2 linked regions of the Bombyx mori genome follow. The protein of the gene in region 2 interacts with the protein of the main gene of each other region in a pairwise test. Links are inferred from orthologs where the notes say so. Each region holds a gene or a part of one and is shown on either strand. Other genes may lie near its edges.

What was found.
Region 1: the proteins of vacuolar protein sorting-associated protein 52 homolog (region 2) and angio-associated migratory cell protein interact in a two-hybrid assay, tested with the Homo sapiens proteins (2 studies listed by BioGRID and IntAct). The link is inferred for Bombyx mori from reciprocal best matches to the Homo sapiens genes VPS52 and AAMP.

Annotation. Positions count from the first base shown.
Region 1 is NC_085110.1:12,202,731-12,207,005, reverse strand, and holds the start of angio-associated migratory cell protein, read left to right. Parts: upstream 1-1,448; 5' UTR 1,449-2,086; coding exon 2,087-2,692; intron 2,693-2,957; coding exon 2,958-3,132; intron 3,133-4,275. UniProt on the Homo sapiens protein: Plays a role in angiogenesis and cell migration. In smooth muscle cell migration, may act through the RhoA pathway.
Region 2 is NC_085110.1:11,269,010-11,273,410, forward strand, and holds the start of vacuolar protein sorting-associated protein 52 homolog, read left to right. Parts: upstream 1-1,495; 5' UTR 1,496-1,672; coding exon 1,673-1,918; intron 1,919-2,488; coding exon 2,489-2,634; intron 2,635-2,712; coding exon 2,713-3,280; intron 3,281-3,476; coding exon 3,477-3,632; intron 3,633-3,727; coding exon 3,728-3,846; intron 3,847-4,401. UniProt on the Homo sapiens protein: Acts as a component of the GARP complex that is involved in retrograde transport from early and late endosomes to the trans-Golgi network (TGN).

The DNA.
Region 1 (4,275 bases), about 930 kb from region 2:
ATTTTAATTGGACATACTTTTGAAATGGCAAGATGAGGTCCGCTGCAATTTGTACAACAAATTTCAGTGGGCTTGTCACATTCCTTATATAAGTGCTCACCTCCACAAATAGAACATTTTTGTTTACTGTTACATATTTTAGCTGAGTGGTTAAACTTGAAACATTTGAAACATTGTTGCAATGGTGGTATATATTCAAAAACTCTATAAGAGAATAAGTCGTATTGAACATTGTCTGGTAGAATATTAGATAAGAAAGTAATGCTTACAGTTTGTAAAGGAACATGCTCATGTCCTACTTTCTTTGTAAATCTTCTGATAGCAATAATTTCATATATTGACGATAGCCTACTGTACAACTCTTTATTAGAAATGTTAGCTGGAACGAATCTTATTATTCCAGTCTTTTCAATCTGCGCAGCAGGAATGAAAGCTCTCATGTCATATTTTTCTAAGAAAGACGAATTCTTAATAAAGTTATTTGCTGTGTTATATTGTTTAAAAATAACTGCTATTTTATTGGCATTCACTCTTTGAATTGCCGTCACACCTTTAATTTCCGTTGCAAAAACGTGGTTTAAGTAAATAGGGCTCTTGTTGCCCAGTCTGTCCTTATTAGTTGCTTCGACAAATACTTTAAACTCGGTATTAGCAGAGTTCTCTGGATAAAGTCTTTTATAGTTTGGTTTAAAAAAAGGCAAGTAAGAGTCATTACGCTCACCGCCTCCGCCAACGCCAAAGTCCACCTTGGGGTCACCACCACGATCCTCAACGCGAGGACGTTTATTTGAGGTGGGCGGGTTATCCCCGCCCCCCTCGTTACCCTCCATTTCTAAGGGTCACCACTAATAAATTCAACTATTTACACAGTATTTTTATGAAAAAATAACAAAATTGAAATAAAAATGAAAAAAATTTCAAATTGTACGCGCGCTCTTTTTGGAGTTCCCGCCAAAAGTCCATCTCGCGGTATTTTTTTTTTTAAGAGATTTTATGACCTGGTAACTAAGACCTTTAAGTCATGTCTTATTTTAATTTATATTCTTAATTTTATGAAAAATGATAATATGGAGTGAAATGAAATGAAGATGATTGATTTGAGACATTAATCAACTGGGATGAAATTTAATGAGATGATATGGGATGAAATATAATCGCAGTAAAATGGTGGTCATTTACTGAGATTTTTTCAGTGGACTTTTTGGAAGAACCCGAGAAGCTACGTCCAGCAGCTTTGTTTCATTTTCCCAAATTTGTGCACTTTCACAGATATTAAACAGTTAATAAACCACCATTATTACACATTTAAACCCGAAGAAACACTAAATAGACAAAATAAAACAAATCACACAACTGCACTCCTCGCGTTCCCGCCAAAAAGTCCTCCCATCTCGCGGTAAAAAGGTCACGTGTCACAGACTATCTTCTTTTTCCCACCTCTCGTGCGTTCCGGCTTACGCATCATAAAAATGTGCGTTCTTAAATCTTAAACGCCACAAGTTTTTCCAAGTCAATTCAATTCGTTAGACTTTTTAGTTAGACCGTTTAGTTTAATTATATCATTTCATCTCGTCAAAAACCTATAGTGTTATCTTATTTCACCCTATATATTTTATACCCTAATCAATTATTTTAAGTTTTTTGATTCATTTCACTTTTCACACAACTAACATAACCTCTGGCTTTGTAATAAAAGAGTGACTGGTCTCTACACGCCTTGGCCGCCCAATGGACGAATTAAACAAAAAAAATCAGAATGTCATTGACAACAACAAAAAAAACGTGTTGATTGGACTCAATTTACTCATTTGTTAAATTATTTTCAATTTTAAACAATCTAAAACTTGCTATTTTAACCATAACATTATAAAATTAATAGTTTATGCGATGTATGATAATTCTGAAAGAAACTTAATTATATGAAGAATATTTTAATTAGTTTTGTAAATAAGGGTTAGTCTTAAACTTTTACAATTTTATAACTTTTTTGAAAAGTATCTAAAAATAATTGGCATAGCACACTTAATATTTGAGAATAATTGGTGAATAAGATAGCTTAATAAGAACAGTTATTCAGTCAGTCAATATGCACGGGAATGAGCAAAACACACCGCCGTCGTCATTAAACGGAGACGAAATTACAAGTATGGAGGATGAGGGCGTAATTTACCTGGACGAAATGGATGAACTGGGTGATGAAGAAATGGAAGAGTTTCTTAGTCAAGAAGAAGAAGACATAGATATAGAACCCCCTGAAGATCATTCTGCACTAGTGTTCAGCAAACACGTGGGTTCTGTATTTTGTTGTGATCTCCACCCCAATGGTAAATTAGCAGTTACGGGTGGTGAAGACGATAAGGCTTATGTATGGTCAGTGGAATCTGGTCAAGTTGTACATGAATGTGTGAATCACAAGGACTCTGTTATATTTGTTGGATTCAGTTTTGATGGGTCTTACTTAGCTACAGTGGATATGTCTGGTGTAATTAAAGTATGGAAATACAGTGATGGAACAGATCCATGGCCACTTGCATTTGAATATATTGCAGATGACTTATCATTTGGCATGTGGCACTTTGGTGCTAAAGTTTTGATATGTGGGGCTGTTTCGGGAGATATCTACATTTTTAAAATACCTTCCGGCGAAACTAAAGTGCTTCAGGGGCATAATGTCAAAGTTGAATGTGCAAAGGTAAGACAGATTATTCTATATGACTAAATAAACACATTTAAAAACAATTTTTATTTAATTTTTGTTGTATTAAGTTTGCTGTTAGTAAAATGAAAATATTTGATTCATCACCTTGGTCACAATAGTAAGTTTGAGGGTTTCTCTAAGAGTCTAAGGCCAAGTTGTTTATGAGCTAACCCAATTATTGTCTCATCTTTTTTAATACTTAATATATACTTTTTTATCGTAATTGGTAATTAAGTTGCATAATTTTCCACACTTTCAGCTATTCACCGATGGTGTCCGAATGGCTGCTGGCTATGAAGATGGTACAGTCAAAATATGGGATATTAAAACATCAGCTGTGACACACCAATTACCAGCTAATGTCCATCAAATTAGAGTGACGGCAATTGACATTCACCCAGACAATAGTCTTATGGCTTCAATCTCTACAGATGGTTAGAATTATTGTTTTCTACTTCTCCATGAAAATAGAATAGAAAAAGTAAACAGAAAAGTAAATAAATTTCTGTTGTTGGCCAAGAAACCTACGATAATGAAAATAAAACATAAAATGTTATTTTTAATACACTTTTACATGGTATAAATATTTTATGAACCGATATGAGTAGAAGGGTTATTTTGATAATATCCTGAAAAGCACCCTCGCTTTTTTTTCTTTTTTTTTATAAAATCATTTTTTCTTACACTATTTTTAATTCAAATTTATTAAAATTTATAATCTATTTTTTAGTTGGATTTTCTATCAAAGCATATTTTTTTGAACTATTATTTATTTGCATACTTGCTTTGGAAGAAACCAAAAGTATATATAGTTTACTAGATAGTTTTTACTTTTATTAAATATGCTTTTTTTTATTGCTTAGATGGGTGGACGAGCTCACAGCCCACCTGATGTTAAGTGGTTACTGGAGCCCATAGACATTTACAACGTAAATGCGCCACCCACCTTGAGATATAAGCTCTAAGGTCTCAGTATAGTTACAATGGCTGCCCCACCCTTTAAACCGAAACACATTACTGCTTCACTGCAGAAATAGGCAGGGCGGTGGTACCGTGCAGACTCACAAGAGGTCCTACCACCAGTAATAAAGTTTCAGTCAATCATAATCTAATCATACTTATGGGTGTTTTGTTTTTGTACTTGATTAGGCATTCGGTATCCATAGAACATGAGAAGATCCAAGCCTGAGCTTGTTCAGTGTGAATTATTTTTGTTACTAGTATTTGGCATGATGTTTCTTAAAGCAAGGTATTGGATCAGAAGAAAACTCTGGAGCATGTTTCAAATCTATTATTCTATGATGTTTATGTGTGGAAAAATACATCCAGCTCGTGTATCGTTTACTAGCTATCTATATTCTATCTTAAGACTTGAGATCAAATTTTTCAAATCATTTTATTAATTGGTGAATGAGATAACTACTTACCTAGTGCTAAGTGGTCACTAGAGCTCATAGACATCACAATGTGAATGGCATCACCCGCCTTATATGCCTTACCCGCCTGTAATGTTTCTCTCAACTATTACTGTATACTGGAACTCATGATAGAAGTATGCTTGATCTTACTACTTAACT
Region 2 (4,401 bases):
ACTGAAACTACTACTACTAGAAATGTCAAATTAGGAAGTACGTCACGGTATTTTTTACTTGATGCCGAGATCCTGTCCGTTTGATAGTCGTAAATTGCAGTTAAACTTTCTTAAATATTAATATAAAACATAATTTATCAGTTAAATAGATCAACGAGAATATGTACTAAATATGTTCATATGTATGTGTACATAGGCATTCATTTATTCTATCTACAAGTCCTTTAATACAATTACAATATGCATAATTAATACAATGGCATTTCTTGACATTTCAATATAATTTTACTCTATTCTTAGTTGTGCTTTTGTTAAAGTTATACATTTTCTTTGTAAATATTTCTTGAGAATAATATCATTGATGCTTATGCATCCATTAAATTTGTGTGTTTATTTTTCATCCCTTGAATTTAATAAAAAACGTACTTTTCTAGAATATTTGAAGTCATCGTAGCTTAAAGGATAAGACTTCCGGTGCATTCGTGTTGAGCGATGCACCGATGGTCGAATCCCGCAGGCGGGTACCAATTTTTCTAATAAAATACGTACTTAACAAATGTTCACGATTGATTTCCATGGTGAAGGAAAAACATCGTGTAATAAAAATCAAACCCGCAAAATTATAATTTGCATAGTTATTGGTGGTAGGACCCCTTGTGAGTCCGCAATAGTAGGTTAGTACCACCACCCTGCCTATTTCTGCCGTGAAGCAGTAATGCGTTTCGAATTGATGGGTGGGACAGCCGTTGTAATTTTACTGAAACCTTAGAACTCATATCTCAAGGTGGATGGTGTCATTTACGGTGTAGATGTCTATGGGCTCCGGTAACCATTTATCACCAGGTGGGCTGTGAGCTTGTCCACCCATATAAATAATAAAAAAAAATCGAGTGTTTGTAGGTTTTGACAGTAAGGCCACAATCCTCACCCACACTTACTTAATTACTTTTTAAATTGACACATACCAAAACCATGTAACAAACTTTTAAAACTTAATTTCCCCACGCTACATAGAAAACCCACTACTGCCTTCAACACCCACAACCCACAACTCCAGGAGCCAACCAGTACTTGGAAGACTTCATACAGTTTCTTAGGGAAATAAAATCATATATTTTCTTGTGGGACGCCTATACATATTTTATATACATAATGAAGCAAAATGAGATGAAGTTAATTAATTTGAGACTGTAATCAATTCGGATGAAATTAAATGAGATGAGATGAGATAGAATAAAGTCTCAATAAAATGGTAGTTATTTAATATGAGATCAGAAACTGGAACAACCCGAGAAGCCACATTCAACACAAAACGAGGTTAATAAACTACCTTTATTACACGTTTAAATCTGAAGAAACCCTAAAATTAGGAAACAAAACCAACAAAACAAAAATTCATACAATTTCGCTCTTCGTGTTCGCGCCAAAGAGTCTGAGATTTTAATATTTTTTTTATTTGGCTGTATGGGCTTTGAACTCTTTGTCCATCCAGAAAGAAAAACGAAAAAAACGTCATAAGTAGTGTCACTGTTTCAGTGCTTTAAATTGTTTAAAACAACAAAAAAAATTAAATACAAAACCTAAAAATTCAAGTAAAATGTATGTGAATAGTTGAAAACGCACACAGTCAAGTATAAATGTTGATTTCCCGTCATTCCACTAGAGTTTAATCATGTCTGATAACAACAACATGAACTTAGACAAAAATCTTGAGGATTTCGAAATCCAAGAGGTTCTCCGTAATGGTACAGATTTGCGAGAATATGCTCTTCAAATCGACAAAGGAATCATCGAAGCTGAAAAAGCATCTGTTGCGGATTATTTGAGAGAAAGTGAGAATATTGGCTCCCTTCATAATCAAATCGAAGAATGTGACAATATTTTAGGGAAAATGGAGAGTATGCTACTGGTGTTTCAGGTAAATTTATCTCTATTTACCGCATAAAACAGATTTACAACACTATTATAGTTTTCAGCCCTTTGGTACCCACTGCTGGGCATAGGCCTCTCCTTTCACACAATAAAGATAGAAAAATACATCTCCTTGGAAAATAAAATAAATACAAAGCATGTTAGGGAATGCTAGGAAATAAAATATTTATAATAATGTGACTATAGAATACCTATTACCTTTATAGAAAAAAGTCTCAAATAAATGTTAATTTTTTAGTTTTTAGTGCTTGTTTAAAAGGCTTAGGAGTTCGACAGACAGAGAAACTATTATCAATAAGATCTAGTGAACTGAAATACCTCTGACAGTTAACTGAGAACTTTAATTTTAATTTCTAATTGAGTTGAGAGAGTTTGAGTTAATCTTGATACTATATCATACCTAAAGATTTCAGTACTGTGGAATTCCCTGGAATGTAAACATGAACTACAAACAGGTCCTACTTGCCAATAAACTGAAAATTTTGATGTTGAGAATAGCTCTATTGAAAAATGTTGTGCCTATTGTATTCTTTAATGATAACTTTTCTTGTAACAGAATGATTTAGGAAGCATCAGCAATGAAATTATAAGTTTACAAAAGCGTTCAGTGAATATGTCAGTACAGTTATCTAATAGACAAGTGCTTAAGGGACCTTTATCTGCATTCATAGAAGACATGGCAGTGTCGGAAACTGTTATATTGTAAGTGATTGCCTGGATTCATTTATCCACTTTTATGGATTTTAATTGTACTCTATTATATTTACTATTACATTCCAGTGGTATCAACAATGTTCCAGTTACCGACAAAGAATTCATGGTGCAGTTGGCAATTTTAAACCAAAAATTAAATTTTGTAAAGGAACAAGATTTCAAAGAAACTAAAGCTTGTCATGATGTCAAAGACGTTTTGGAAAAATTAAAGATAAAAGCAGTGTCAAAGATAAGAACATATATTTTAGAACAAATATATAAATTCAGAAAACCAATGGCAAATTATCAAATACCACAAAATGCCATGCTGAAATACAAATTTTTCTTTGAATTTGTATTGACCAATGAACGAAATGTGGCTCAAGAAATTTGCAATGAATATATTGATACATTGAGCAAAGTTTATTATTCATACTTCAAGTCATATGCATCAAGACTAGATAAATTGAAATATGAAGAAGCACCCAACAAAGATGACTTAATGGGAATTGAGGATGGATCTAAAGGAGGATTCTTCCAGAAATCTAATTTAAAAAATAAAAGTACAATATTCACTATAGGGAATAGAGGTGATGTTCTGGCCCAACAACTAGAAGCACCCATTATTGTACCACATGTTCAGCAAAAAACAAAGGTACAAAATACAATATTACAAATTTCATTTGGTTTCTCGTTTATAGAATCAAGTGATTAAAATCTTTTCATTCCTAAATAAAATATGAAATTAACAACTTTAAAATATTTATTGCTTGCTGTATGCATATCATTTTTTTAATGACACTATATTCATGTTTTGATCCACTTCTTGATAATAAATAAATTATTTTCAGTATTCATATGAAGCCTTATTTAGAAGTCTTCAATATGCCTTGGTAGACAATGGTTGCAGAGAATATCTGTTTACCACTGAATTCTTCCATGTCAAAGGAAACCATGCACAAGAGCTCTTTGATAGAATCCTCGGTAAAACATTGTCCGTGCTTGTAGTGAGTAAACCATTAAAATTATGTACATAAATATTTATTTCTGGAAATTGAATAGTCTGAATTGAATTGAATCATCTTAATTTTTTATTTTACAGAAAAATGTGGAAAACTATGTAGTTGAATGTTATGATTGTTTGGCACTATTTCTTTGTATCCAATTAATAAACAGATATAAGTTAATGTGCCATAAAAGAGCAGTTGCGGCTCTGGACAGGTGAGAATTCATATTAAGAAATGTATCGACACTGACAAACCTTCATTTAGAAGGGTAAGAGCTAATATGGCAAAGAGTAAATAAATATAGGGTTAATCAGCCCTGAGGCGACACTTGTATGTCATGTTCGACCCACCATAAACCCACTCAGTCCTCAAGTCTCATCTTGACTTTAGTGTTTGGTTGAAACTTACTTCTGCTTAACATAACAGTTCTATGTTTGAGTTTGTAGTTTTCCTTATCTTAAACCCAATGCTGATGAGGCCCGTCTCTCCGAATTACATAAGCCATAGAATACTATATACATTGTGAATACCAGACAAGAACTGGCTTTTGATATTGAATGCATATCAATATACTAGTTTTTGCCCGCGACTCCGTCCGCGTGGAATAGTTACTTTGGAATAACGCTAAATTTTACTCCCCACTTCATTTATGTAGAAAGTAACAATATTTTGGAATTGTAGAATGTTAAGAAGCTATTGAAACCCTTATTTTGAAACATTTTTTATTGGTGCTCCACTTGTATTGATCTTACCGTGATGTTATATAACC